Xenopus tropicalis: one gene and its partners. The protein of the gene in region 2 interacts with the protein of the main gene of each other region in a pairwise test. Links are inferred from orthologs where the notes say so. Each region holds a gene or a part of one and is shown on either strand. Other genes may lie near its edges. The genes, in order: abhd16a, retreg3 and stap1.

Region 1 (10,590 bases), on a different chromosome or scaffold from region 2:
TCTTCTTGCCACTCTTCCATAAAAGGCCAACTTTGTGCAGTACACGACTAATAGTTGTCCTATGGACAGATTCCCCCACCTGAGCTGTAGATCTCTGCAGCTCGTCCAGAGTCACCATGGGCCTCTTGGCTGCATTTCTGATCAACGCTCTCCTTGTTCGGCCTGTGAGTTTAGGTGGACGGCCTTGTCTTGGTAGGTTTGCAGTTGTGCCATACTCCTTTCATTTCTAAATGATCGCTTGAACAGTGCTCCGTGGGATGTTCAAGGCTTTGGAAATCTTTTTGTAGCCTAAGCCTGCTTTAAATTTCTCAATAACTTTATCCCTGACCTGTCTGGTGTGTTCTTTGGACTTCATGGTGTTGTTGCTCCCAATATTCTCTTAGACAACCTCTGAGGCCGTCACAGAGCAGCTGTATTTGTACTGTCATTAGCACTCATCAGGCAATGTCTATGGGCAACTGACTGCACTCAGACCAAAGGGGGCTGAATAATTACGCACACCCCACTTTGCAGTTATTTATTTGTAAAAAATGTTTGGAATCATGTATGATTTTCGTTCCACTTCTCACGTGTACACCACTTTGTATTGGTCTTTCACGTGGAATTCCAATAAATTTGATTCATGTTTGTGGCTGTAATGTGACAAAATGTAAAAAATTTCAAGGGGGCCGAATACTTTTGCAAGCCACTGTACCCGAGTAAAGAGCCCTAGAAGCTCCCTCCTGGTATCTTAGCATACTTAGTGAACGTATAATGCCTGCCTTGCTTCATCTTTGCAATGTGACATGGAGCTTTTTCAGGGGCTTAATATTTCAGTTGCTGAAAAATCCCCCAACAGCACTTGTCAGGACATTGTTGCATGAAAAGCTGCACAACTGCTTTTTCAAACAACTGTCACCTAATAAGCACAATTCATAGGCAGAACAAGAGAGAATGTATGAAAAAAGTTATGTTGAAATGAGGTTTAGGAATTAGCCACTCCCTCTTAAAAATATGTAACAATAAACCATAATCTCTCAGATATGCTTACTCAAATATCAAGGCACTTATGTTAATACTGCAAACCCATTTTTTTAGTTGCAGTCTCCACCCATCACACACACCATAATACTTATGTATCACATATTTAAAAAAACACAGCACCTGGAACTTGGAAATTACAGTTGTAATTAAATGGCATACAGGCAGAAAAAGCACCTATGCAACACAGGCATGCTCTAGCACCTTACTTTGTTCTCTGGGTTGTTTTCTATCTTGGTTCTCTCTAAAATGTAAATAAACTGAATATAATGAGGGTTGCTCCATCTGCCAATACCTGCAGGGAAAGACAGTACAATGTAAAAAGTGATAAGTTGCATTTTTCCACATCATCTGACTGGGGCCATTTGGCCACATGAGAACCTTATGCGTAATCAGTCCAGTTATGTTGATGGCCAGATCACATCTGAACTGCATACTCATAAAGAGGTCATCAGCAGATAAAATCAAACTAAGATCCACTGTCATAATTTAGTAAAACTACTAAACATGAGGCTTAGCAATGAAGTTGCTAAACCCCACCAATCTATATATAACTAGCTATAAGTGTCTTATACATCATTAAAGGGAAGAATTTAATTGCTAATGCAGGATCAGCATTCTTATAAAGCAGTGTGTAAAATAGTAAGTACACGTAGCTCTGTTTTTTAATCATGCTTTGTCCTATAGTTTTCCTTACCTCTCAAGCACACAACCCCTGCCAGCAGAAGTAGAAATGTCAGACCATATTGTCCAAGGGGAACCAATCGGGACATGTTCAGATAACCTGAAACCCAAAAAGATGATTGTCAGCACAGAGATATCAAAAGCACAGATCTAACTACATCAGGCATTTTTGTAAAGGGAAATAACAAAAATTAAACAAAAAAGTTAAATAACATTCTACATACACATGTTTTTTCAGAAGACTGGAAGTACAGAAAAGGAGGCAGAAGAGCTGAACATAAGAGATGGCATGTCAAGAAAGCAGTACCAATAGAATTAAAAAAATGAGTGCATAATCAGTAGTTAAGACAACTGAATAGGTTAAAATTAGTATTAAGAAGGAAAATATTGGGAAAGTCATACAAACAAGCATAAATACAGTGTTAAAGCACCCAAAACAACACCCCACTTACTTACACTATAATCACAAGTCAGGCACTTCTGCCAGTGCTTATTAGGTGACAGTTGTTCGAAAAAGTAGCTGTGCACCCTTTATAAGCAACAATCTCCTGACAATTGCTGATATAACCAATTGTCAGGTAATTGCAATGTTAGTCTGTAGTAGGGATTTTTTTCAGCAACTGAAAGGTTAAGCCCCTGAAAAACTCCATGTCACATTGCATTAACTTTGGGACATTATGCACATCAGTCTGAGCTCACAGTGACTGTACAATGAAAGAGTTAATGGTTAGTTGTTTGAAGGATGGTTTGAAAAGCTGTTGGATGGATAACTGGCTGTCATTATTAATCAACTTAAAGACAGAAAAAAAGACATCCAGTGTATGTAATTTAGCGCTAAAGCAGCTAATATAGCAGTGCTACACACAGAACATTTATTGGTTACAATACCAAAGAAACCAAAGATATTTGCTAGTGCCTCATGGCCCCTATGCTCTGTTTCCATATGCATGCATTTTGCACTATATCAGACTATATCTCTGATGAAGCCCCCAATGGTGGGAAACGTATAAGTAGGGCGGAGCATGGGGGCCATGTGGCACTAGGAAGTGACTATGGTCATTTGGTATGGTATGCATTTTTTACTGAATTTTTTTAATTTGATCTGTAGCCAATAAATATTCTGTGTGTTGCACTGCTGTGTTGTTGTTGTTGTTTATCTGGAGAATTATGGGGTATCCAGTATGGAATAATTATTTTTTCCTACTTTTTAAAAAAAATAAAAAAAAAATAAAAATGTATTTAACACCAATACACTGGACCCCAGGTACCCATTTAAATCACATTACTGATAACTGCCAAAGCATTATGGTGTCCCAGTATACCCAAGCAAAACCAAGAGCTGTGCAATTTTGCTAGTCAACACCTTTTTTGTCTGTGGCAGTTCTGTAGAAATCTGCAGCAAAATAGTAACACCATCATTACAAATTGTATAATCACATCATCAAATAACAGCTTCCATATGTGTACGCTAAGAAAGTTTGTGGATAATTTTTCACCTTTATGGCAGCGAACACAACACAAACTATATTAATTACTGTATTGATTGCATGTTGACAAGATTCCATACCTTTTCTGTACATATAGCAGATAGCAAGAGGGGATGAATAATAGGAAATGGTCCACAAGACTGAAACCTAATGGGGATAGAAAAAACCCAACAGCATAAAATACCATTATTTTAATGTAAAAGTGTTTTTATCTAGTCCTATCAATAACCAACTACAGCAATAGGAATTCCATACGTACCCAAGCTAAAATGCTATCTGTGTGTTTCTCCAGTGCTCGTGGCTGATAAAAAGACTCCTTTAAAGAAACAATAATTGGTAAGGAATACAAGACAATATGCTATTAACAGTAAAAAATAATGCAAAATATAATCTCAACTTTATTCTTAAACCCAGCCAAGTAAAATATTTATTACAAATACATAACTAAAAGTCAGATTTGAACACAACCAGCCAAAGCTAACATTTAGCTCTAAAGTGATGCTTACTGCAGGTCTACACTAATATCCTCTTTAAAAGGTTAAATATTTTAAATGTAAAACAGAGTACTTGTAATGATGAAAGTTTTATACAAACCCTATTCTACTATACAAACTATTCTACTCCTCTTCAGCTTGAAACTGTAAGTATTATGTGGTCACTAGAGCCATCCCAGTGTCCATGCAAATGACTATTCTCCATGTGTATAACCTTGTATTTTAAACTGGCCATTAAAAATGGAGGATTTGCAAGGTACAAATCGGTTCCTATCCTCCCTCCTAAGGATACCGTAACAGAACAAGCCCAAAGTAAAGGTCCATGCAAGTAGCCCATTGGGGCAGATGACTACAAATGAAATTTATTATGAATCTTTAAATAACATCAAAATAGGTTGTAAATAGCAAATAATTTTTTAGCCTAATTTCACTCTAACTGGCCATCAGCCTTGCATCCTAGCAATATATAAGGCATATATATTGGTTTTATATATAGTGTTATTCTGAGACAACTTGCAACTGGTCTTCATTTTTTATTACTGCTAGTTTTTTTTTATTATTTTACTTTTTGTTCCACAGCTCTCCAGTTTGAAATTTCAGCAGTTGTCTGGTTACTAGGGTCCAATTTACCTTAGTAACCAGGGAGTGGTTTGAGAGAGTGACTGCTATATGAATATCAGAGGGGCTGAGTAGAAAGATAAGTAATAAAAGCAGTGATAAAAATAAAATTGTAGCCTCAGAGAGCCCCATTTGAAAGCTGGAAAGAGGCAGAAGGTGGTACATAATTTCGGAAACTATAAACAATAAAAAATGAAGACCAACTGAAAAGATGCATGGAACTGGCTATTTTATAACACATTAAAAGTTAACTTAAATGTGAACCAGCCCTTTAATATCCTAATACCACATCTCCAAACCCAGAGCTGTCAGCCAACCCTAGATCACGAGGGAGATAATGATCCAGTCCTTCGTTATTTTAGGCCTGAATATCTCTTCACACTAAGGGGCATATTTAAAAAACGGCGTTATAACGCATAAAATTACGCCGCCGTTCACGGTGTAAAATTCAGCGTACTTAGGTACTGGCTGCTATTTCTGCATTGCGTAAAACCGCAGTGTATACGGAGTTCTTTCTTACGGAAATGACAGCGAAAGCGTGAATGTAATTTAGCGCATGCGTGTTCTATTTCAAGCTATTGTTTTCATTTATAGGTTGGTTAAAAACGGCGTTATTTATTAAAGTTTCCGCAAGTTGTTTTCATTGGTTGGTTAAAAACGGCGTTATTAATTTAATTTATATAAAACGTGATAATTACACCCATTGAAATGAGCGTAAAATTTGCGTACGCCACCGGCATAAAATTTGCTTACGCCGCTGGCGTACGCGCGGAAATGAATAAGATCGCCAGGCTATTTTCCGCGATGGCGAATAACGGCGGGAAAAGACGCGGTTGAAGAACGTCGGAATTAATGACGCAAGTTTAGGTTTACACCGCGTTTAACGACGAAAAAACGGCGTAAATCCTTTTACGCGCTTCAATAAATATGACCCTAAATGACAAAATGAAATAAGGTGTTAAAAAGGCCTGCAGCAGCTCATTATCTCCCACATGACATGGTTTGGGTGACAGCTCTGCAGGGACTGGCTGTGCCTGAATACTGCGCTACCTTTCTAAGTTTCTATATTAGTCCAATGAAATAAGTACACATGCGCCCCTACCTGGTACATACAGTATGCGCAGGATACAACTGAACCGTAACATTATACAGGCTCATTGTTAGGTAATGGGCCCAATGTCAACTCTCATTTAAAGTGGCCCTGCCTATTGAAAGGTCTACCTAAACAACATGGAGGAATACATCTCATATTCCCTCACCCAGGAAACCCCGGGCTCTTCCTCCTCCTGGCCCCGTCCTCTAATCGCCGCCGTCCTTCCGTTTTGCCGATACACTCGGTAGAGCCGTGGGCCCTTCACACACAGATACAGCAGGGCCATTCCCCTTACACATCTCCGAATTAAGCCATCCCCCACCGGCCCCCCAGCAGCCGCCATTCCAGCGATATCAGCACTTTATGTGACTCCCTCAAGCAACTAGCAGCTCACGTTATGAGGGTCACCGGCAGGAGAATGAATATGTTGTGCTTCTAGGCGCTCGTCCAATCAGCTGACAAGAAGCCTGTGAAACGGTAAAGTCCAGCGACAGATGGGCGGGACTCCACTAATAAGGAAGGGAAGCCGATTCGACAAAATACATGCAAAGGCGTGTCCTTGAGAAGGCGGGGCTTTTATTAGTGTCGCTTAGAGATAGGAAGCAAGGAAATGTACTAGCTTCTATATCATGCTAGATATTGTATCTGATAAGTTAATACTTGTTCCAGGCTTGTAAAAGCATTTACTTTTATTGGTTGGTCGTACGTATTGTATTCTGTACGAATTCTCTACTCATTTTTCATGGTGTGACTGTAGGGGACGCAAATACATTATTTTCTTACTTCTCAAGACAGAAGTACCAGCATGTTAACTATTACCCGTGTGGGAGTTATTTGGCTCAGGGATGGTGGGGCCAGTTCCTGTACCTAGTTTGTACCAGGAGAGGGAGCACATGGTTCTCCAGCACATATAGTACCAGGGTTGAATGTTCTGGGAGCCAGGGGCATAAGGCCCAAAGCTGACTGGCAACCTTAGTCATTTTCGGTAAAGGCAGTGGGTAGCTGTTCCTACCATAGTAACATTTGGCACCTCCAAGTGGTTTGCGCTTTCCTTCTGTACTTTCCTTACTTTTGTATGGTCAGCCACCTTTATCATTAGAGATGATGGCATGGAAACCGGATTATTCATCTAAGAATAGCATACTTTCTCTACACCAACCTACCTTTTTTTCCAAAAAAGAAATGAAATGGGGTACTTACCCATGTGGGATTCTCTATGTACTCCACACTATCAAACTGCAAAGCTTTGCTAAAGTTAGCGGTTTTAATGAAATTTTTGAAAAATGCCTTAGAGCTTTTGTTTATACTAAGAATTTGATGGCAAATGTGTGTGGTTTGGAGGCATTCAAAAATGAAAATTATACGTAAGAAATTTCATGGTTAACAATTTGGCTGCTGCATTTTACATTTTCTAAAAGCCCCTAAGAGTATGTGGACCTCATATATTTTCAGAAAGTACACATTCTGACAAATCCAAAATGAATAAAGAGTTTTTTAAAACTTGAAACTACCAAGCTGCGAGGCATTGCTAAAGGCAGTGGATTTTATGACATATCTGAAAATTGCCTAAAAAATATTGCAATTTGCCAAATTTATATTGCACAGTTTCTTACGTATAAAGATAAAACATCCTAAATATAAACGTCAAGGGTCTATTGAACAGTTTGATGCTCAATGTGCATAGACTTACCATAGTATGTGGCATGGTGACCCTAAATTTAAAAGAGTGCATGTGGATTTTCTCAGCTGCTAATTCATCTTCTACTGCCTGTGTATTGTGTGTTATAAGAAGGGGGTTCTTATAACACATAATACACAGGCAGTACCCCTAAAACCCATATATTTTTGAAAAGTGCACATTCTGACATTCAAAATGGGTCAAGATATTGTTATACTCCAAACTATCAAGCTAAAAAAGCTATGCTAAAGTCATTGGATTTATGATACTTCTAAAAATCATCTAAAAATATTGAAATTTTCTGCATTTAGGATTGCAAAGTCTTTACAGCAGGGGGCTGAATAGGGCCTTCCAAACAGCAGACGTGGTCCTGTTGTGTCTGCTGTTTAGGAGTAGGTTGCATCACATGAAAGATGTGACAGCACCCTTGGCTTGTTGCCAAGGGGGTTAAAGGAACAGTAACACCAAAAAATGAAAGTGTATAAAAGTAACTAAAATATAATGTGCTGCTGCCCTGCACTGGTAAAAGTTGTGTGTTTACTTCAGAAAGTCTACTATAATTTATATAAATAAGCTGCTATGTAGCCATGGGGGCAGCCATTCAAAGGAGAAAAGGCACATAGTAGATAACAGATAAAACACTATTGTATTCTCCAGAGCTTATCTGTTATCTGCTATGTAACCTGTGCCTTTTCTCCTTTTTTCCAGCTTGAATGGCTGCCCCCCTGGCTACACAGCAGCTTATTATATAAATTATAGTAGTGTTACTGTAGCAAACACACCAGTTTTACAACAACAAACATTTGTAATGCGCTTTTCTCCCGGAGGACCCAGTTTTACCAGCGCAGGGCAACAGTGCATTATATTTTTATTACTTTAAAGCTCTTTCATTTTTTGGTGTTACTGTTCCTTTAAGAGAGGCTCTAACTCTGCACCATAAAGTGGAAATAGTGCTGCGGAAATGGTTGCGACTCCCACTTTGCGGAAGATTTATCATTTACAAATTATTTTCCTCCCCAAAATTATTTTATATTCTCCTCAAATCCATATTTAGTTATATTCAAATGGTCATGCCCTTAATCTCAGTGAATGAGTCCCAAATTTTCCTGGGAAAAACTCACTGCCCCAATATATGCTGGAGGTCTTGGATTTGAGCCCTGTGGATATACTATATCACACTGCAGTATGTAGTGCATATGGGGTGGTGATGCCAGACTTTGACAACCCAAAACACTCATCTTGGCTGTGGAACTGGGCACAATTAAAGATATGGCTCATGTATGTAAAGACTTAAAGGATCTTACCACAATTACTTTTCCCCATACCTGCCATCTTTCAACTGTTGTACGGAAACTCCTCCTTTCCACATTTTTGAAACCTTGCTGACTTTGGCATAGGAGAGGCCAACATTCATGAAAAACCTTTACCGTATTGGCCCTCCTCCAAGGAAAGTATGTATGCAACATCACCTCAAGTATTATCAATAACACCATGCTTTTTCCTCTGAGATTGGGGGTTGACAATGTCACGTATGAGTAACTGTATCCTAGACTTTCTATTCCAGTCAACCCCCTAAGGTAGTTTCCATTCCTTGTGTCCCAGGGATAAGTTATACATCAGATATATCTGACCCCAAACATACTAGCCAGTATGGGGAAGAGTCCCAATGACCAGTGCTGGAGATGTGGGAGGGAGAGGTCTTTATTTCTCCATCTGTTCTAAGACTGCTCAACTAATTAAAACTTTCCAGTCATATTGGACATCTAAAGATTTTGAATCATAAAGGGGCAGATGTATTAATGTTCATTAATCTGTGTTTGGACAACCAAATGATGAAAAAATGAGTATCATATTGTCAAAAAGCAAATCAGTCAAAAATGAAGGGGTACTGTACCTTTTTTATTAGCATGAGTTAAATAAATAGGACTTCTGCAGAATAAAGAAGTACTAAAAGGCACTACATTTGCCCAGTATCAGTAACCCATAGCAATAAATAAGATGTTTGCTTTTAAACAGGTGACCAGTAAATTCTACTTGCTGATTGGTTGCTATAGGTTACTACTCCTGGGCAAAGTTAGTGCCTTTTATTACACAACCCCCTATGATTTTTATTATTTCTTGAGCTAAACAGGACAAACAGACTGAGGTTTCTCCATGTTTCCAACTTCCCATTTAATATAGATAAATAAATTACCAGGACACAGATAAAACCACACATAATGCACTTTTGCTTACAGTATCTTTTAGCCAAGGCAGCTACAAGAAAGGGGTGAAGTATTCATTACAAGTCATTTATGATAACTAGCACAGTTACAGTCATGCAAATTTCCCCACGGTTAGTTGCACAAACAAATCTATTCTATTCATTAAAGAGGACCTGTCACCCTAAGAAATAATTTGAAATTATTTTTTATTGTGTTTGTTAAGCAAAATAAACTTCACTTACATTATATAAGTAATGTAAATCTTGTTTCCTTCAGTCCTGGAATTACATAGTCATATCAAATAGGTAGGTGCCATTTTGTGGACACTGCTATTAAGGTAAGCTTTGTATCTTGCCAAAATCTGGTTTCTGTGCCAGTATGGGGGACCTGATGCTCATGCCGGTGCAATGGTTACAAAATTAGATGGTTAGGAGGGAGGGGGAATGAGAGGAGTGCAGCAACATATAAGAATTTCTGAATTTGAAGTGAAAGTAAGTGTCTGCCCCGCCTCTTTGCCTTAGGCACAGAGGTGGGCCAGAGAATATATGATTGACAGTTGGGATTTTTAAATGCTTTTATAATGGGTATGGATGTGTTAATAAAAAAATGAGTTTGGGTTTCATGTTTAATTTGAAAAGGACTTTTATTATACAGCTTTTTATGTCTGGGTGACAGGTCCGCTTTAAAGGAGTACATACGTAGGATGTCAGCGTCCAGAGATCTGCAGGTCTATCAGATTTCAGATGCTGTCTTTTGGTATTCTGGGTGGAGGTGTTTTTTTTTTTAACAATGATCCATATGATTCCATGCTCACAGGGGCTCTACTCTTTAAGCATTTTGCCCAACTAGTGAATCTTTCAGGATGTTGAAGGCCAGCCTACTTTGTGACATGAGGGTCTGGCTGGCTGCTGCATTGCCTGTGTGTGCCAATTGACATCTGATATGTACTGGGAGAGCAGAGGCAACCAGTGCATGTGCAACTTGCATGTCCAAAGCTGCCAAGGGCCCACCAGGGCCACAAGGGTTTTCCTTGATATCCCAGTGGGCCAATGTGACCCTGATGCAGCCAGTCTCCATAACCGTGCCTTTGACTTTATGCAAATATTTTGGAGCTCACTTTCCATGCCCTCCATATGGGGCATGTTAAATAAGGCTAGAAATCTAAATCATATGGTAAACATTAATATAAATATATCCTTTGTTTGAAAATTCCCACAAACAAGCTAACTTACTCCTGTTTTATTCTTCAACTGTGCCTGTTAATGTATTGTTGCAATAGCAGTATTGGGGAGCTCAACCCTCTGTTAACTTA
Region 2 (10,644 bases):
CATTAGGGTTGTCTCAACATACCTCATTACTGACACAAAATGTAAATTAGTAATATGTACAACAGAATTCACTGTATTGATGCTCAGTCCCTCTTGCAGGAAAGACAAAGAAGTACATTTACAACCAGAAACAAAACCCAGTAACTAATTTACAGAATATATAAAATATGTACAGGTATAGGATCTATTATACAGAATGCTTGGGACCTGGGGTTTCCCAGATAATGGATCTTTACATAATTTAGATTACCAGACATTAACTCTGCTTAAAAAAATTATGATTTTGTGATTATATACACACACACTCCTATAAAAAGGACCAGCACACGAAATCACATCAATATCTTGTTTTTATTCACCGTGCGATCCAATGTTTCAATCCCTCCTGGACCTTTATTCTTTCCTTAATAAGGGTCCAAGTAGGGACCGAAACGTTAAATCGGACTTGGATAAAAACAAGATATTGATGTGATTTGGTGTGCCGAGATCCCTTTTCCGAAAAACCAAAAGTCCCAAGCATTTTGGATAGCAGGTCCCATACCTGTGATCGCATATTATATAAATATCTACTCTATATATTGTGCTAAGATGATTCATGTAGAGTTTTCTTCAAAACCACTTGCTGCTAGACAACAAATTGAGTATGTTCTTTACCTCCAGACTGTCACTGCCATCAGCTTCTCGATCAATAATGTCAAAGATATCTTCATGGATTTTTTCACCCTACAGAGCCCATGAGAACAGAAGAGGTATAAACACCATGGTTTGATAAAGAAGATCCACCCAGATACCATTTGATATTTCCTTGCATTATGGTCAGAAATGAGGACATTCCGTCAGGAAAGTGAGTATAGGCCAGAGTAGTATTGCTTTGGGTGTACTTGGCCAGACTCTGCTTTGCTTGATTGCTACTTCAGAAGCACCCAAGCACCATTGCTTCTAAAGCTTTCCTAAACTTCCCCACAAAATTTCTTTACCTGCGAGAAACCACTAGCCCAGTTGTTTCCGGCACCACCTCCATGTTCAGACAGATAAATGTTCTCAGGGTTGTACAGGTTGGCATATGGAGAATTAAGTATTGAGTGGATGACCCTCGGTTCTAAGTCCAGAAGAACAGCTCTAGGAATGTAATGCTCATCATCAGCCTACAAAACAAAAAATAAAGTCAAATGAAAGCCAGTGCTTCTGCCATTTTTAGTTCACAGTTTAGTATCTACGGAGCTGCTGGGTAGGGAATAAGCACAGAACAGCAAGGCACTGTTGCTATGCATTTTTACAAATACAGAAGACGTATATCACACACACACAGCAAAAAAAAATTTCTTATATACACAGTCAGTGGCAAAAAGCAATTGCTTCTTTTTGGGTTCCTAAGCACATAGAATCAATCATTAAAATGGGAAGTGAACACTTGGCAAAATAGACTGGATGCGTAGCGAATGATGAACAATGTATAGTGCGGTGTCAGCACTACATAATGGCTAACAAATACAATATGACCAAAGTGATCAGGCTAATTCCAGTACCGAAACAAAGTTGTCTAGTTTATATTTCATGTATAACCACGATTGGGTTCAAGAGATTATCAGAACACATAATACAGAAACTTTGCACTAAGGAGAATTTATTAGGTTGTTGCAAAACTACAACTCCCAGTTTACCCACACAGACCTTTAACATTGATATTCCAACTTCTGAACTACAACCCCCATATGTTCTGCAAGATGTATGCTCTAAGAATGTGTGACTGGAATATGTTATAACATTTTATTCATAGTTGTTAACTAGATAAAAGTTACCTTTAAGGTGAACATCCCTTTAGAAGATGAAGCAGATGTGCCAAAAGTGCCTGGTTCTTTCTTTGCTGCTACAGAATTTTTTTATTTTTTTTTACTTGCTCGTGGGATTTGCTTCCACCCACGGGAGCATTAGTAAGGATAGGAATTATATTTAAAGAATAAGTAAACCTTTTTTTTCTATGAGTAAAATTACTCTAAACAGCCTCCAGAATTACTTACCTTTGTCCCAGCATTCTCTCTGACCTGTTTCCTCAGTCAGAAGGTATACTTTTTGGTTGCTTCCTTGTGCAGAGTGATGCCCCGCCCCCACTTCCTGTTCAGTTCTCTCTTCAATTCGACAAGGTTGTTGGAGTGGAGATCCTTCTGCGCATGCCTGGAGGCAGCAGGAGCCAGTCTGTGCATTAGCCGTTTTTTGAATGCTGGGACAAAGGTAATTCTGGGGGCTGTTTAGAATAATTTTACTCATAGAAAAAAAAAGGTTTACTTACTCTTTAAGGACTGGCTTGCAGGCAGCATTTCATTCAAACAATTGATTTTAGCAACGTTGTATGATGCTCACCTGATAAAAGAATACATCTTTCCTGTCGGTACCTTCAGTTGCAAACTCTTCCACAATACCTTCAGGGCTGATGCCATGTTCTGCGCACAGCTGCTTCCAGAACTCAAATCCAACTGACAAGAACAAACAAAACAAGAAATTGTTAAGAACCAAAAATATGTGAATTGTTAATTAGACAAACATAAGGCAGTTTTTACATGTGAACATGTTATATATATAAAAAAAAACAGCGTTACAAGAACCAGCTTGTTTACATAATCTCTTTATATAATGTCTTATACATGACACATGCTGGATGGATCCTATTGTTGGTACTTCTGCGAGTTTAACAAGCATTTGAGATGCAGGTTTGAGCACACCTAAGGGTGAAGACAAACTGAGCTACTAGTAGCAGCTACTTTTCACGGCTAATAGACTCCAGAAAATACCCTGCCATAGACAGTACTGAGAATTGCCTTTGCTAAAACACATGTAGAGACAATTATCAATATATGATCAGCATTGTCTATTTTAGTAGCCATGACAAGTACCGGCTACTAGTAGCTGTGTCTCTTCACCTTAAGGGCAGGGGTACACGGGGAGATTAGTCGCACCGCGACAAATCTCTGTTGTTGCGGGCGACTAATCTCCCCGTAATGCCATCCCACCGGCTAGAATGGAAATCGCCAGTGGGATGGCATACGTGTCGCTGCGATGTCCCGCAGTCGCCCGAAGTTGTCTTCAGAGGAAACTTCATCCCACTGGCGATTTACATTTACGCCCGCGACTAATCTCCCCGTGTACCCCTGCCCTAAAAAGCATCAGCTAATAAATTCCATTAAATTCTGCCTAGCTGAAGCACAGCCACTGTCTCTGACAGACTATAATGCCACATATAGCGCATCAGGTGACGCACAGCCGCTGTCTCTGACAGGCTATAATGCCACATATAGCGCATCAGGTGACGCACAGCCGCTGTCTCTGACAGGCTATAATGCCACATATAGCGCATCAGGTGATGCACAGCCGCTGTCTCTGACAGGCTATAATGCCACATATAGCGCATCAGGTGACGCACAGCCGCTGTCTCTGATGACAAGCTATAATGCCACATATAGCGCATCAGGTGACGCACAGCCGCTGTCTGACAGGCTATAATGCCACATATAGCGCATCAGGTGACGCACTAGCCGCTGTCTGACAGGCTATAATGCCACATATAGCGCATCAGGTGACGCACAGCCGCTGTCTGACAGGCTATAATGCCACATATAGCGCATCAGGTGACGCACAGCCGCTGTCTGACAGGCTATAATGCCACATATAGCGCATCAGGTGACGCACAGCCGCTGTCTGACAGGCTATAATGCCACATATAGCGCATCAGGTGACGCACAGCCGCTGTCTGACAGGCTATAATGCCACATATAGCGCATCAGGTGACGCACAGCCGCTGTCTGACAGGCTATAATGCCACATATAGCGCATCAGGTGACGCACAGCCGCTGTCTGACAGGCTATAATGCCACATATAGCGCATCAGGTGAGGCACAGCCGCTGTCTGACAGGCTATAATGCCACATATAGCGCATCAGGTGAGGCACAGCCGCTGTCTGACAGGCTATAATGCCACATATAGCGCATCAGGTGAGGCACAGCCGCTGTCTCTGACAGACTATAACGCCACATATAGCGCATCAGGTGATGCACAGACACTCTTTCTGTACAGATCATAATACCACATGTTCCTTTAACTGATATTATAAAACAAATATAAATAAATATATAAAACCCTCTCACACACACAATAACGCCAGGCCTGTATAGCCAATACTGCAACCCACCTCCTATGCACATAGAAGCGCAAGGATGCATTAACATGACAGATGGAAGGTACCATACTAAACTATAAATCTAATCAGCTTACTCTGGTTCCCACACTGGCCGAGCTGCAGAGTGATGATCTCCCGCGGCATGATGCAGCCTGAGAGGAACACTGCTTCCCGCCTCCCCTCCCGCTCTCACACTAGCGAGCGGCGCAGACGCAATTAGGCGCAGCCAGCAGCCATGTCTGAGGCGGAGACAAACAGTAAAGTAGTGGGGGGGAAAAAAGTCTTCTTGACGTCACCTAACACCGAGTAAAGTAAAGTAATAAAGGGCGTGGCCTTTGCGACTGGTAATTGGGCCAAAGCGAATGACGTAATGGCCCAGAACATAAACAACAAAGGCGGATATGGTAAATGACAGGTGACGGCTGTGCGCAGGCGCAGTAGGCGGAGAGGTGAGACAGACAGGGGCAGCCTCTGAGTACTTGGCATTTGGCCGCGGTCAGCCCCTGTTCTCGGCGCGGTGCTGGGCGCTAGGTGGCACCTGTTCCCCCTCATACAACTCTTATTTTTATTTGTTAGGCAGCAACTGGTTGATGTCAATGGCGGCATCTTGGTGAGAGCCGGGAGAGGCAGAAGATGGCGCAAAGAGTGGGGGAGGAGGAACAGGGAGCCTCCGGGCTGAGGAGAAGGAGAAGCGGAGCGCGGTGTGTGGAGGCCAGGGAGAGAGACGAGCAGGTCCGGGAGGTGCAGGAGATGTTACAGCGGGGCCTGAGCAGCTACGAGCCGGTGCTGAGCTACGTGCAGGCCGTACTGGTGTGGGAGAGACCCCGGCACAGCGCGCTGCTCCATCTGGCACTCAATGCCGCTTTCTGGTGAGATGTGGCCCCTAATGTAGCGCCTGGGGGCGGGGCTAGTGTGGGAACCCCTCTATAAGGAACAGCCGCAACGTTCTTGGCTCTGTCATGTGACTATAGCATAGAATGCAGGTGTCCTGTATCCGCCATACCCTTCATCCGGCCGCAAATCTGTGTGTGTTTACTTGCATTCTAGGAATCTACAGTTCGTGTTTAGCCAAGCCCGGGCTCCCTGTCACCTCTCAGCCACAGAATGTTGCTTTGTCAGCCATTACTTGCTGGGAGTTGTAGTTGAACATTAGCAGGGATCTTGGGCAGGGGGCTCTGACCTTCACATGTGTTTATAATTCTCTCGGATTTCCTGTCAACTGCTGCAAGGTTTTTATTTCTTATAAGGGATCCTGTCCATGTGGCAGTGATAGAAATGTGTTAGTGCAGGGTGAGCTGTTGGGCACTGGACTGAAAACCATATTATTACACGTTTCCCAAGGTGTTTGATATCTGAGAACTGTGTAAATCTGCAAGGGCCCATGAGTTCTCAGTTGTGAGTATGTGTAACTGTATTTGTCAATATGGCTTCCCTTGGGGAGGGGTAACAGTCGGCAACATTGCTCTCGGTGCTCTCACTCGATCAAACCCTGGACAAATGGCCTGTGACACGTGAACGTGCTGACCACCATTGCTGCCCTCCAGCTGAGAAGACTTTCAGTCAAAATATCTCTTACTGCCATTCACCTCTTGTAATGTTCATAATGAAAAGGCAGATGGGTATTTGAGCAACGCTGTTTGGCACCCAAAGGCAGCAGGGAGCAAAATGCTTAGCGTGCCACAAGTGCAAGGGTATTTTGCATCTATGCTTGATTGATCTATGAAAAAGAACTACTGGCAGTCTGGGTACCCCATGTGCAAATGAGATTTGTAGTAGAATGGAAGGTTCAACTTCTAAGTTGTTTCCAGAAATTAGGACTTTACAATTGCTTTGTTTTTCATTTATTTATATGCAGTTTTCCTTTCCTTCCATTTAAAGTTTATTTTCTTCTGTTGTTTCCCAGTAGCAGTAAGCCAGGTTGCCTACTTCATAAATTGTTACCATTTGTATTACTTGTTCATACGCTAAAGCCAAAAGCATCTCGCACCTGCATCTTATTCCAAGTGGTTGTTCCTCCCTTCACTGGGACAACAGCCTTTACCCTCTGCTCCTCAAGGAAGACTTTTCGCTAAGGTGTTAGTACATTGTTGGTTGGATTTCCTTCCATTCAGCCACAAGAGCATTAGTGAGGTTGGGCACTGATGTTGGGGAAAAAAAAATCATGTGGTACATTCCCTGCTAGTTTTAGAAAGAATCAAGCCACATTGGGGGTTGGGTGGGCAGAATATTTTGACAGCTGCTTGACTCTCTTGTCCATTCTCAGTGTAGCTCTTTTCTTTCTATTAGTGGTAGCTGGCAATTTTCACTTACTGAGGTGCTTCTGTCCTGGGAAACGAGTGGGTGCAAAATTAAATGTTAGCCAAAATCTTAAATAAGAAAAATGGTCATTGTTACAAATCATAATTTCTGGTGTACTAGGTGAATAAAGTTGTGCTTAAAAAGGGTTCAGACGCGGCGGCGCGATTTTGCGAGTCTTTTTCGGCGATTTCCCGAAATCGCCCCCCCGCCGCGTCTGCCATCCCGCCGGCGACTTACATGTTCGCCGGTGGGATGGCAGGAGGAAGGCAACTCGGGGAGATTAGTAATCTCCCCGTGTACCAGAGCCCTTAAGGGTGAAGACACACAGAGCTAATAGTAGCAGCTACTTTTTCACGGCTACTAAACGCCAGAAAATACCCTGACAATACTGAGAGTTGCCTCTGCTAAAACACACATAGAGACAATTATCAGTATATGATCAGCATTGTCTATTTTAGTAGCCACAACAAGTAGTTGCTACTAGTAGCTCCATGTGTCTTCACCCTAACTCTCACTGACCTGGAAAGAAAAGATAAAAAAACAAATGTATTATAATATTTCCAGAGAATATTGAGCTACTTTTGAGTGGTGGAAAGCATATTCTCTTCTGAAAGAAACATGATTTTTTGGGTCAAAAAAGAGTGGTCTGTCTCCCTTTTGGATACAAATGGAGGGGTGACATGCAGATAACAGCACAAAAACACTCATTTAAGCATTTTGGCACCAAGATCTGCCCATTAAGCTAGCCATAGTTGATAAGATCTGTCTTGCAAAACAAGTGGATCTCTTCCCACGCACTGGGACAAATCAAGGGATAGTGATCAGATCTTACAACAAGAATATGGAGACCCAACAGACATCAGTGGTCTTTGCCAGGCAGGATTATTATATGGCTTTACTGCTCCATGTGTGTTATTCCATAGTATTAGAAACAGTGACGGGTAGACAAGGGTGTTTTGACTCCTGCTGCTCTCCATCAATATATTTATATAGCTGTACTTATATACACAGAGCTCTACATTTTAACCCTTCTCTGCCAGCAGTCTTTTTTTTTAACATGGCAAGGCATGCATGGATCAGACGGGAAAAGTCTATGTAGTAGACACTTTGGTCTTTATATACGGGCACTGTAGATTTAATGCAACCAGATCACTGGTGAAATTCCATACTGGAAAGCTGTTAAACAAAAAAACTACAAAAACATAAAAAATACAACTAAACAATGAAGACCAAATGCAAATTGTCATGCCTACATCCTACAAAAATGAAAATTTGAAGGAGAAGTACCTCCTTGGTGCCTATATAGAAAAATAAAAATGTGACCCCCTTGTCTGCCACTGGACACTTGCAGCTAAATCCAGCAAAGAATGGGAGGGGTTATCCCTGTATCTCTGCAGCTGGAATACATGCATAGGATGTAAAGTGTATGTGCTAGTCAGGTAGAGGAGGAGGTGGTTGGAGAGATGTGCCTAGGGCAGCACTGGATATACATTTAATGCCAGTAGATCATTCTATAATCCATGAATTTGGTAATTAATCCACTTTAATCTATTCATCAGTGATAAACAGGGAAATATCGAAAAAAAATTTTTTGCTGAGGATAATACTTCCCTTTTACAAAGTACTGGGAAACCTCTAGAATATGCAGTACAGTTTTGGTTTCCAGTGATCAAAGTCCAAAGAAAAACAACTTAAACTACTGCTGAAGAGTAAGGGCTCTGGTACACGGGGAGATTAGTCGCCCGCGGCAAAACTCCCTGCTCGCGGGCGACTAATCTCCCCGAGTTGCCTTCCCCCTGCCATCCCACCGGCGAACATGTAAGTCGCCGGCGGGATGGCAGACGCGGCGGCGCGATTTCGCGCAAATCGCCGAAAAAGACTCGCAAGGCTTTTTCGGCGATTTCCCGAAATCGCCCCGCCGCGTCTGCCATCCCGCCGGCGACTTACATGTTCGCCGGTGGGATGGCAGGGGGAAGGCAACTCAGGGAGATTAGTCGCCCGGGAGCAGGGAGTTTTGCCGCGGGCGACTAATCTCCACGTGTACCAGAGCCCTAAGCGGGGCCTTGTTTGTGAAGAAGGACTGAACAGATTGAAGTCGTTTACATTGGAGGTGTTTAATAGGGATCTAATGTCTATGTAAAACTATATATTGGGAGCAATTCATAAAATCTCTGTTTCACCATTAGATCTTTCCAGAAGACACAAGATTCATAGGATAAGTGTTTTACATATTTAAACCTTTAGCAGGGTTTCTAAATTCCATGTAGTTAATGCATTATGGTTTTCGCTTAAACAAAGAGGCCATTTATTGAGATACAAAGAGTGCAGAGAAGTGGAATTAAAGGGCACCTATCACCCTAGATTTGCTTTTCCCATCAGAGGTGCAGGCTAATAGAACCCGCACTTGGGTTGGGGGGGACAATAGTTTTTTTGTTTTTTTTTTTAAAAATCAGTCCCTGCTGGTGCTAGGCCAGGAGCTCCCGGTGCGAGAGGCCATGTTATTTAGTGCACATGTGCATGATAAGTGAGACACCCTGCTCACTCCTTATGCACAAAGCAGTGGATGCGACTCGCCCACCTGGATCACACGCATGTGCATTATGAGTGAGTTGTGGCACTTCCTTGATATGGGCATGCAAGTGCCACAATATGGCTACCCCAAACCTGGAGCTCCCTCCCAGTGCGGGCAGCCTAACACTGTAAGCGGCTATTTTTTGGTGGGGAAACAGTTTTAGGGCGATGGGTGCCCTTTACGGTTTTAAAGATGTTTGTGATGAATCCCTGTTAGAGATACACATATAAGAGAACTATTCAGTCTGGTACCTTTTTCACAGAGGGCATCTGCTTAGAATAAAATAAAAGAGGTTTTATCTTAAGGTATGAAAAGGGTTTTTTTTAAGCGAGGGCTGAGAATCTGTGAAAAATAAGCAGCTGTACTTGCCAGAAATGTTAAATATTTTAAAGAAAACCCATGAGTTCTTTTTTAATAAGTGAGAAGATACATGGCTACTAGTGTGACTGCTGTGATTGCCAGGTTAGAGTCTGGCAGAAATGCTTTGGATCAACTGAAATGGAGGGGAGGTGAAAGAAATCAAGTAAATGCCCCACAGAGAGAGACTGGGGCTGTATATGTAGTGTATGTATATGTAGTGTATGTATATGTAGTGCTGACACTGTAAGTGATGAGGTGGCAGAGACAGAGGTGATGTGGATACTGTTTCAAGGAGATGAGGTGGCAGTAGGAAACAGTAAACATTCTGTTTCATGGAGGAAACGTGATTGGTAAAAAGCAAAATATATAACTTCATAGTTGGGATAAAGCGGCAGTTGACGCTGAAGTATTTTGCAAAAGTAAGGGGGCACCAGTAGAAGACTTTGCAGAGGGCATTTGATCTTGTGCAAAGGGTTAACTATCATATACATAAGGAGTCATCAACCTTGTATTTCAGACATATATGGTGGGTCTGACAGATCTAAGGTCGCATTGGAAGAACAACTTCTGTTGTAATTTGGGGGATTCAATTCATTTTCTTTCCTTTTTGAACTTAATGCATGTGCCAGTTATGCACTGCCATAACCTTGCCAGAAATATTGCTAAAGAGCTGGGCCTAAAGCAAAGTGATATTCACCGGGGGTGCTAGAGTTTTTGCAACCCCCACTAAATAATAATCTCTAATCTTACAAGGGGTACTATTCCTGCCTTGCAATGCCATCAATGGCCCTTCCGATTCGCTTGGGTGTCCTGAGCATTGCATATGTCCCACAGAGTAAAAATCCGGACTGCAACTTTAAAGTTGAAATTATTATTTTCCTGTGCATGTGTGTTATCGGGACAGTTCAGATCTCTGGGACAACAGGAATAATGTGGGTGCTGCCGGAACAGTGCCCCCAGCTGATGCATTTTTCATTGTGGTGAAAATGTAAAAAGTGCAAAATAATTTGGTTATTCAACTATCTTTTTTTTATTTACTTGCAGGTTTTTTGCCCTGACCTCTCTCAGAATCATATTTTTGGTAGCATTTGGACTAATGATAATCATTTGTGCAGATCAGTGGAAGAACAAACTGTGGCCTGAACTGGGAGGTAAGGAGAATTCTTGATATTATCTTCCCTTGCTGTCACTGAAAACTTGATATACTTCTATCTATACAAGATTCCACGTGTATATATGCAACTC
Region 3 (10,644 bases), on a different chromosome or scaffold from region 2:
AAGACCAAGCTAAAATGGCAGCTGCTATCTTAAACAAACGGAGGGAGCTTCTAGGCCTCTTTACACAGGTATGGTAAAGCTTTCTGCAGAATAAATATAGTGTTCTAGGTGGCACTAATGTGGCAAATCTACTGGCAGTAAAATGCCAAAATGACTTTCCTTCTCCTTTAAACTGTTATATTAATTAATTGTATATTTATCAATAAATATTCCAGTTGGAGTGAAAGTTTACTAATCCTATATATTTTCAAAATTCAGAACGACAGGTTTAAAAAAACAGTTGAAAGGGTAATTTCCTCCTGAGTTTCTATAAGCCCTTATATTTGTTAGCCTAAGGGCCTAAAAATCTGATCAGCGTTTATTGGGTGAGAAATTTGAGTGGCCAAAAATCTTTCTGTAAGGCTAGTTTAACAGGGAGCATGGGGAAGAAAGGGGTCAGTTTAAGTTCCTAGGAATTGAGCTAGACTCTGAGCTTATGGAATACCGGCTTCCCTAATATATGATAGACCTGGTATGGCAACTTTGGCAAGCCAGGGTGGGCAAGAGGCTGACTCTTATGTAGACTCAGTCACTGTTAGCCAGGCTGAACTTCGCCTGTCGAGTTATGCCACTAGGCAGAATATTTTTCAGGAGGCTTGCGTCTTTGACATCAGGAGCTAGGCAGCCCCACCACTTGAGATTAGGCAAAGGGAAGGAAGACCTGGCAGTGAGGAGCTCCTTCTTTAAGCAGATTAATGGCAGATCTTTATGGCAGTTGGAGCCAAGGGACAACTATGACTTGCATTTGCATTGTGTAGATCACAAGTTGTCTAATTCCAGGCAGTGTCATTCTGTGGCTACTACAGCAAATAAAGTGCTGTCTTGTATAAAAAAAGGGCATTGACTCAAGGGATGAGAACATATTTTTGCCTCTTTATAGGTCCCTGGTAAGGCCTCACCTTGAGTATGCAGTGCAGTTTTGGGCTCCAGTCCTTAAGAAGGATATTAATGAGCTGGAGAGAGTGCAGAGACGTGCAACTAAACTGGTAAAGGGGATGGAAGATTTAAGCTATGAGGTTAGACTGTCGAGGTTGGGGTTGTTTTCTCTGGAAAAGAGGCGCTTGCGAGGGGACATGATTACTCTGTACAAGTACATTAGAGGGGATTATAGGCAGTTGGGGGATGTTCTTTTTTCCCATAAAAACAATCAGCGCACCAGAGGTCACCCCTATAGATTAGAGGAACAGAGTTTCCATTTGAAGCAGCGTAGGTGGTTTTTCACGGTGTGGGCAGTGAGGCTGTGGAATGCCCTTCCTAGTGATGTGGTAATGGCAGACTCTGTTAATGCCTTTAAGAGGGGCCTGGATGAGTTTTTGAACAAGCAGAATATCCAAGGCTATTGTGATACTAATATCTACAGTTAGTATTACTGGTTGTACATATAGTTTATGTATGTGAGTGTATAGATTGGTTAGTATAGGTTGTGTGCTGGGTTTACTCGGATGGGTTGAACTTGATGGACAATGGTCTTTTTTCAACCCTATGTAACTATGTAACTGATGCAGCTGGAGCAGCTGGCTATAGAGCCTATTTTGAGGGCAATGGAGTGCAGGGGGGCTGGCCTAAGGAATGTAAGGAATTAGGCTTATGAAAAATGTCACCTTTTTAGAACTATTTCCCATTTTAGTGGCAGTGGAGTGACAGCATGAATTGAAAACCAGGCAGGTGCTTTTTAGGTCAGACAACATGGGGGTAGTTTAAGCGATAACTAATATTTCTGCTTCCTCTCCCTGATGGTTCCGGCTGTTGAGGTATCTAGTGCTAAAATGTGTCCATCTCAATAAGTGGGTGAGGGCCAGTCATGTGCTGGGTGTTTCTAATAACATTGCAGATGCTCTCAGTTTCAGTAGAGCTGGTATCAAGAGATAGCACCAGCAGCGGACCAAGAGGTACTCCTTTGTCCAAAGTGACTGTGGGATTTGGGGGCTGGGAGGTGGCAGAATTAGTGAAATGGTCTGTGTCTCAATCAACCTGGGCAAGGTATGCCAGAGTATGGGATGAATGAGAGGCAAAAAAGGAACAATTTGGTGAGTATGGGAGTGGAGTTAATGACTGGGAGGCATATTTTCAATATACTTAGTTTGGCAAAAATTTAATTTATAAAGGCTGGAGAGGACAGATGTCTTACATAATAGCCAAAACACTACTTACTGCTTTCAGCTCTCTAACCTCTCAGTTAGTCAGTGACTTTAGGGGGGCCACATGGGATATAACTGTTTAGTTAGTTTGTGAGCACACAGGTCAGATTCAAAAGCAAACTAATTGAACAGTTATGTCCCAGCATTGGGCTATTGTAGCTTATATTACATATTAATAGCCAGGAGTTAAGTGCTGTGTTGTAAGTCTGCATGAATGTGTCACTTGCAGGGCAGAAATTGAATGCAATGCAGACAGTGGTGTAAAATATAAGCATTATCACTTGATATAGTATTAACCCTGGTTACTATATTTGTGCTCCCAGTAGTTTCTGCACTGAAAGTTTTATTCTGTATTAAAAGGGGTATAGATTCCTGGGAGGAGGGAGTCATTTTTCCACTTTACAAAGCAATGTTTCCCATGTGCACTCTTTTGAAAAACTAGTGTGTGCAGTACAAAATGTTGGGTTTTAATGGTAAATTTCTTGGGCACACCATAGTTTCTTGTGTGTGCTGGTGTCAAAATTTGTGCGCGCAAGAGCACACAGCTTAGAGGGACATTGCTGATAATGCTGCTCTAGAATATGCAGTGCAGTTTTGGTCTCCAAGCCTTATATTAATGAAATAAAGTCCAAAGAAAAGATATTAAGCTGATAAAGGGAATAGAAGGTTGTCTAAGTTGGGGTTCTTTACCCTGGAGAAGAGGCGCTTAAAGGAGAAAGAAAGGTAAAAACTAAGTAAGCTTTATCAGAAAGGTCTATATAAATACAGCCATAAGCACTCACAGAAACGCTGCACTGACTTCTCTGAAAAAAGATTAGTTGTGTCTGTAATTCCTGTGCCAGAGACACGCAGCTTTCTGTTCTCTGCTCTTTCCTGTTCCCCCCTCCCTCAAGAATGCTAAGAACTCACTCCCCCCCTTAGGAATGTGGATCTGAGCCAATCAGCAGGAAGCTGACTCAGAGTCTTACTAACTGAGCATGTTCACTTGGTCTGCATGTCTTTGCAGGAGTGAGGCATTATGGAAACTTTCTTTACACAGCTCAGCGTTATTTCTTCCTTCAGGTGAACAGGTGAAAAATGGGGAGACTTAAGGGCACTATTGAGACAACTGAAGGTATGCCTGCAGCTTGAGAACTCTTTACTAGCCTTTCCTTCTCCTTTAAAGGAGGAGGAAAGGCTAGTAATGAGTTAATCTCAAAATTCAGGCATACCTTTAGTTGTCTCAATAGTGCCCTTAAGTCTCCCCATATTTCAATAGTTCAGATGATCAGAAGCCAAACAGGAAGAAAAAACGCTGAGCTGGGTAGAGAAAATTCCCTTAATGCAATGCTCCTGCACAGACACTGCAACCAGGACTGTAGGCGGCGCATGTGCACAAGCAGGAGCACTCCCCCTAGCGTCTGGTTGCCATGGCGACCGCCACCCTTATAAAAAGTGGATGCAGCAGCAGGTGGGGCCATATCAAGAGGACGCAGACGGCAGGCAGATGCTGGGGGGGAGGAAGAGGCGAGCGGGGAGAGGAGAGGAGCACAAGCAGGAGCGCTCCCCCTAGCGTCTGGTTGCCATGGCGACCGCCGCCTTTAAAAAGTGGATGCAGCGGCAGCTGGGGCCATAACAAGAGGATGCAGCTGACAGGCAGGTGCTGGGGGGGAGGCGATGAGTTGAGCTGGACGAGTTGGTGTGTGAGCTGGGGGGAGACACAGAAGGATGCAGCTGCTGGGGGGGGGGGAGACACAGAAGGAGGCAGGGGGGAGCGGGGGACCGCAAAGAGGATGCTGGAGGATGTTGGGCGATGCATGTGCAGTAGAGACAAGAGGGAAAGGGAGTGGGCATCCATTGTTAAAGATGGCGGCGCCGTTCACTGAAACAAGTATGTAGAATGTAGCAGGTGTATCTCTGTAAATCTTTCATTAGGCAAGCCAGAAATATAGCATTAGATAATTCACAGGTCAGTAACACACACTATAAATTTTATAACCATTAACCACAAATCTTAGAAACTGACAATAATAACTAAACCTATTAAAAGAGGCTAGCATTTTCATTACTGAAGCTAAAACAATGTACTTTTGCACTAGAACTTTGCAACAATGCAGTGTTGGGTAGTTCTTAAATACAGTTATGCGACCTGTTATCCAGAATAACTGGGACCTGTAGTTTTCTTGATAAGGGGTCTTTCCATATTTTGGATCACCATACAAGTCTATTTGAAAATTATTAAAACATTAAATAAAGTCAATAGGATTGTTTTTCACCAATGGATTTGTGCAGCTTGGTTTCACCTAGTTGGGATCATGTACAAGGTACTATTTTATTATTACAGAGAAAAGAGGAAATGGCATTCCTGTAACTGGAAGCTTTTTGAAGAACGACTTTCCATATAACGTTTCGCATTTCAGGATTCCTATATGTTAAATACAGCCCTGGGTGAAAGGATGGCTAACTGAAGCTTAGCACCTTTCCAAAAGGAAAGTCATATTTCTTAGGAGTGCTAAATTGTTAGGCATCACCCCCCCCCCCTGTAAATATAATTGCTAACCTTTAACCCCAGATCTACACATCAGCCAAGGGTGCATTCAAAGGGAGTGCCACCTGACCATCTTTTTTCAATTGTCCCTTGCCACATGCATGCACAGTTCATTTGGTTTTAAATGTTCAGGACCAGTGCATGCTCAATATAGTGAAATAACCAACCTCACTCTACTGTGCATGTGCTAGTCTTGACCATCGCAAGGTCCAACTGGGTAACAGTAAGGATTCAGACCATCAAATTTGTGGCATTAGCCCACCATTTTGGATTTTGTTAGGAGTGTCATGCACACATGCATGGTGTGCTCTGGGCAGCTGTTGAGAAGCTAAGAGAAGCAAATAAACAAGCAGATAATGAAGTTCGCCTATCATTTAGGCTGATACTGCAGGGCTGATTATTAGACTGATGCAAATTAAGCTGGTTTTGGATCTGTTATGTAATGAGAATCTGAATTAATTACTAATCATTTTTGCATTGTGACATTTATTTTCTATAAATACAGTATATGTTATTCCCTAAGCTCAGGTTACTAACAGCACCATGGAGCATGTGGCAACATTGAGAATCAGCAGTAAGGAAGGTGGGAGGCTACTGTGGACATATTCAGGGGCACAGATCATCTCTGCTTGTCTTGGACTGGTACAGAACCCCAAAACATAGAGTGTAGTATTTATACCCTACTTCTTTGTTAAGTTTTGGTCTCCTTTAAAACTATAGGCAAAAAAATATGTTCAGCACAAGCTCTATTCATTGAACTAATATTGAAGAGGTTATACTGCCTCTTTAACTAAACACTAAAATGACAGTATGTTGCCACCTCAGACTATCCATGCAAGTACAGGTATATGGAACTACTTCTGGGAGAAGCTTAGGAAAGTCATCTATATTTTACTAAGCTGTGATAATCATCATAATCTAGTCACTTAAATAATGTTTAAACTGAATACATTTTACCACTTGGCTAAAATGTCCATTATTGTGATGGTACTATATTTGCCAACCACCTCACTTTCCTCTGTGTTCAGACTGTGCTATTAATGTGAGTTTTCATGTTTAGCAGTTCCTTCAAGCAGTAAAAACTGTATTAAAGAAAAGAAATTCACATTACCTTTTTCATGGCTCGTCTGATCCATAGATTACCTTCATAGTATAGTGGCAGTGAAGTTAAATTGAACTTAATCTGATGGATACGCCGAGAGGCAGCAGCTGGGCTTGCCATTCTCTATTGTGAAGAGTCTCTTAGCTATCTTAATTCTTATATACAACAGCAAAGAAACTTCTATGGGGAAGTAATTGCAGTGTACCTGCAAGAAGGAAGTAAAGTAAAAATAATTCTCCAAAAAATGCTGTTTGCTTAATATACTCCTCCCCATTCACCTCTGTAAGGGGGAGGAAACCTAGATGGATCAAACTCCATCTCTAACAACATACTATGCAATGACCTCAGGCAGCAATAAATACTAGTTCTGCTGGTTTAACTCTAGCTGTCATCATTACAGTAGGAAAATAGATGAGATTTTCCCACAAGGGAAAACACACAAATCATGCATGAGATTATATTTTTATACAGGTTTCCTTATTTGTTCAATAAATATAAACACCTATTTGTTATGTAAAAGCTGTAGAGAACCTCACCCCGGGGAAGAGACAGAGGTAGAGGGAGGGGTGGGATTAACAATAAATGCAAATAATACTTCTTTACAATTTCTGTTATATGAAAGGGGCATCATTTGGGTGAGCAGCAACAAAAAAGCCTATTATCACCATGCTTAATGCCAAGTGCTGGAGGGTGCTGACATTAGAATGGAGGAGAAACACTTCTTCTGAAGTTATATATGGTATTTATTAAATGGCAGATGCCAAGCTCCCTGCAGATTTATCAAAGAGTAAAATTAGTGCTCACCACAGTAAAATTTCCTCACTCTATATTCATTCCTATGGGATTGTTAGAGGCCTATTTATCAAATGGTGAATTCACTGATTGCATTAAATTTTCATGATTAGGCGTATTCATTTATTTTCAGTAGCTGCTGAAAAAAAGCTCTAGTAACTGATGCATTTTGAAAAAAACATGTTTTCCCATGACAGTTTTCCTCTAATTTGGTATGCCAATGTTTTTCTAGCACATGCAGGCTTTCTAAACTTTCAGCAGAATTTAGTTCAATTTGCATCAAAGCGCACATGCAAGTGCACACATTTTTTTAGCCACAATTGGTTTGCATCTTGCCCTATTTTTGTAAATAAGTGCTTATTTGTCTGGCAGGTCAAGAAAAGAAAATAAGCTTTTTAATAATCTGTGAAGAGATGTCTTTGCTTTCTTTTATCAACATAATAAAAAGATTAACCAACGTATTATGAAGACCTGGAGTGTCAGTTAAACCAGGGCTCAGCTCTTCCACTTTTTTAATACAACTTATAAAACGCACAACTCTTTAGCTCTTTTTAAAAAATCAGCATGACATTTAGAATGAATATATATGCTCCCACAACTGGTGTATAATTTAACAAAAGTGGTATATAGAATGATTTAATCTTGTCTGATTTCAGACATTTTCTGGAAAATTACATCCTCTCTCATAATATGCAGTTCTACAAGAAAACCCAACTGGGCTTCTTTCTTACAGTTTATAAGCTATGTATAAACATGTTGATGGTATAACAAAAGCATGCATAAAAATCATTTTCTATACATCATACGATGATAGTCTCAGACTTTTTCACTAATGTACTTATAAAAAGTTTGGTAGAGAGTGACAGTATTTAGAGAGTTAAGTGTTAGTATTGCATGCAGAAATGCACTTTAGATGCAAAGTACAAAAATGTTGAAAGAATAAATCGTGATGATTGTAACTCTAATTATATTTATGAGTTTGGATATACATAGTTATTTTTTTAAGTGCTTAGTAAAACTAACAAAAAAAAACCACAAAGACTGGTAAACTGGTAAAGACTTTAAGGTTTACTTACTGTTACTTTTGATGCAAGTGAAATATTGTCCAATTATGGGAACACTTATGCCAAGAACAACAATTTATGCACACAGCATTAGGTACATTGCCCAGAGGCACTGATAGTGGGGACAGGGTCGGACTAGGGGGTGCAGGGCCCACCGGGGCTCCCACCCCAGGGGCCCTGCAGGTGCCCCCGCCGGCCACGTCCCCTAAACCCCCCCCTTGCAAGGGCCCTCACCCGGCATCCTCCCCGACCGTGCATAAATTTAACGCGTCAGGGGAGGAGCGGTCAGGCCTCCTCAAGCCCTAATTGTTCAATGAAAACATGAATAAATATATATCCCAGGGTCCAGTACGGGAAATTTGACAGGTACTGCTGGCAAATTGTATCAAGTTTCCATAATTTTCTGGTTGATGATCAGTGAAACCTCTAATACAAATAGCTAAAGGGAAATTAAAATGACAATTAAAGGGACACCCTAATAAATAATCCCAAATCCTTTTCTATCATGTTAGTTGAGCAACAGAAACTTTACTTACACTATATCAATTATTAAAATTTTGTTTCCTTCAAACTATTTAGTCAGCATGATCTGTTGTGTTCTTAAACTACACTGGGATACAGGCTTGCGGTCTTACTGAGTGATTTTCTGGGGTAGCTTTAAAGGACACATATTGGATAAATAGAAAAAAAACGAATTTTGTAGGCAATTGTGAATAATATATGGTGCAGGTTTCACTTTGGGCTAAAAATGAATCCTATCTGTAAAAATGACCCCTTTATTGGCGTTCCCTATAGATCCTATCAGCTGTCTGTCCCTGTTTCAAATGAAGGGTGGGCGTTTCTTACCGGTCCCAGCCAGAAGCACAGTAGGAGGGGGATAGCCAATCACAGCCTTGCACTCACCCAAGCAAAGAGAGGCTTCAGTTCCATATCAGGTCAGCCTAGCTGCTGATTGGTTTCTATCTTAAGGTCCCCATGCACGGGCCGATTCTAGCTGCCGATATCGGTCCCTTAGACCGATTTGGAAGCTAATCGGCCCGTGTATGGGGACTACCAACAGGCCTGCCCGACCGATATCTGGCCTGAAATCGACCAGATCTCTATTGGGCAGGTTAGAAAATCTAGTCGGATCGGGGACTGCATCGGCTCGTTGATGCGGTCCCCAAACCAACTGCCCCATTGCCCTGGGGCCAAACGATTGAATTAGCCTACACGCTCCTCGATACCGCCCACCTGTAGGTGGGGATATCGGGTGAAGGTCCGCTCGCAAATCTTAACGTGTATGGGCACCTTTACAGCACAGTGTACTGAGAGCCTCCAGCGGGAAGTGGAACAGATGGGCGGGACTAGTGGGGTTTTGGCAAAATCTCTCAAAAATCAGTCTGAAACACAACTTTTTTACGCACAATCCTTCTATATTTAGAAGAGTATAATTCACTGGTACATGTCTCCTTTAGGTTGATGGCAGACGAAGTGTAGGGCGAATATTTTCGGCAAGCGAAAATACCGCCTTACGCCTCCTACTTGTGCCTGCACCACAATGAATGGAATACGCTCGGGTGCAGGCACATGTAGCCGAAATCTGCATAAAAATGTGAGACACTGCATTTTCTTGTGTTTTTATGCATATCTCGGCTACATGTGCCTGCACCCCTGGCGGGGATGCTGGGGCAGGCCAAGCTGACTGAGTTGCCCACCTCGCCCCTGTACCTTCCCTCTCCTGGTGTGTGCGTGTCTATACACAGTGCCTTTGCGAGGGGGCACCCCCACCCACAGGGGCACTGACTACGGAACGCTTACTAGGGGGAAGGCAGGAGAGGTACCTGCCAAAAATATCCGCCCTACGCCTTGTCTGGCATTAGCCTAAAAGAGAATCCAAGCTGCCCAAACGTTAGTGACATTATCAGGTATTATACAGCTTTAATGAGTGGGTGACAGGTCCCCATTTAAAAGTGATTGCCGCTATTTTCCTCTAAGTGAGCCCTTTTTGTCCCTAAATTTTGAAAATGTGCAAAAAATTCCTGATGCCAGAATTAATAAAAAAAACCCTAAAAACTTAATCACTCACGACGGATTATCTGATTTTCTCAGCCGGTGTTTCCTACACAAGCTAAGAAAAGCGGATCTGTTCTTATTCACACAGCGTCGGCAGTGTAGAACTACATGTAGCAGTATTGGCACGATGTGGAGAACAGAACCCTCCACAAAGCCACAGCGGGGGAAAAAAGCCAGATAGCTAAAGATTAGTATGTATATATTATCAATTGTCCTAAATTAGCCATAGTTTTTTTTCCCCGACAAAAGTTGAAGTGGATAGTAGAGGAAATAACGTTTTGAAAAAACGCTTCCAGCCTGCCCCTCCCACCACTAACTCCCACGTGTTGCTTGTTTTCCCCCAGATCCCAGGGCAGCTACTTCCTACTCCGCAGCACACTGAGCGCGAAAACGTGTTTTCGTGACGTCACACTCTCGCGAGATGCTGTCGGGATTAGGTGTAAGGCGGGAGCCTAGGAGGAGGGATTGGATGGTGTTGCGTGAGGTTTAAGCGCGAATCTGCGACCGCGGCTTTTATTATGATCATCTAGATTTCCCGCTAAAAGCAGAACTGTTGGGAAATATGGAACAGGTACCTCATTTAACTCACCGAGCATAAGTATGGCGCAAATGAAAGCAGGCCATGGTTACCCTTCTGCTTTAGCATAACTATAGCTCTCAGAATAGTCAGCTGTTAGGGACGGCTAATGTGAATTGTAGTTAAGGATAGTTCAAATAATATTAATAGCGCCCTTAGATTTTTAAGGGCAGTGGTTCCCGGACTGTTTGCCATAGTATTGGCACCTGTGCGGTTTCCAGCTAAGAGTGCAGGAGACCCTTGGAATTGGCCCTCTGTTCGTTTAAATGGCTTGACCCATGAATGCTGCAGCACTACGTGATTACTATCGAGTTTTTGCTAGCCGCCGTGCTGGAAGTTGTGTGAACAGC

What was found.
Region 1: the proteins of retreg3 (region 2) and abhd16a interact in binary tests that used the Homo sapiens proteins (3 or more experiments, as listed by UniProt). The link is inferred for Xenopus tropicalis from reciprocal best matches to the Homo sapiens genes RETREG3 and ABHD16A.
Region 3: the proteins of retreg3 (region 2) and stap1 interact in binary tests that used the Homo sapiens proteins (3 or more experiments, as listed by UniProt). The two-hybrid records come from large-scale screens. The link is inferred for Xenopus tropicalis from reciprocal best matches to the Homo sapiens genes RETREG3 and STAP1.

The regions. Positions count from the first base shown.
Region 1 is NC_030684.2:74,868,647-74,879,236, reverse strand, and holds the start of abhd16a (protein ABHD16A), read right to left. Parts: upstream 5,867-10,590; 5' UTR 5,740-5,866; coding exon 5,563-5,739; intron 3,508-5,562; coding exon 3,451-3,507; intron 3,339-3,450; coding exon 3,272-3,338; intron 1,805-3,271; coding exon 1,718-1,804; intron 1,316-1,717; coding exon 1,230-1,315; intron 1-1,229. UniProt on the Homo sapiens protein: Phosphatidylserine (PS) lipase that mediates the hydrolysis of phosphatidylserine to generate lysophosphatidylserine (LPS). LPS constitutes a class of signaling lipids that regulates immunological and neurological processes.
Region 2 is NC_030686.2:29,096,734-29,107,377, forward strand, and holds the start of retreg3 (reticulophagy regulator 3), read left to right. Parts: upstream 1-4,622; 5' UTR 4,623-4,802; coding exon 4,803-5,038; intron 5,039-5,259; exon of another isoform or gene 5,260-5,550; coding exon of another isoform or gene 5,551-5,564; intron 5,565-10,443; coding exon 10,444-10,550; intron 10,551-10,644. Other genes in the region: tubg1 (tubulin gamma 1), read right to left, coding at 655-723, 978-1,145, 2,359-2,471, 4,265-4,313. UniProt on the Homo sapiens protein: Endoplasmic reticulum (ER)-anchored autophagy regulator which exists in an inactive state under basal conditions but is activated following cellular stress.
Region 3 is NC_030677.2:82,789,332-82,799,975, forward strand, and holds the start of stap1 (signal-transducing adaptor protein 1), read right to left. Parts: upstream 6,054-10,644; 5' UTR 5,927-6,053; coding exon 5,816-5,926; intron 1-5,815. UniProt on the Homo sapiens protein: In BCR signaling, appears to function as a docking protein acting downstream of TEC and participates in a positive feedback loop by increasing the activity of TEC.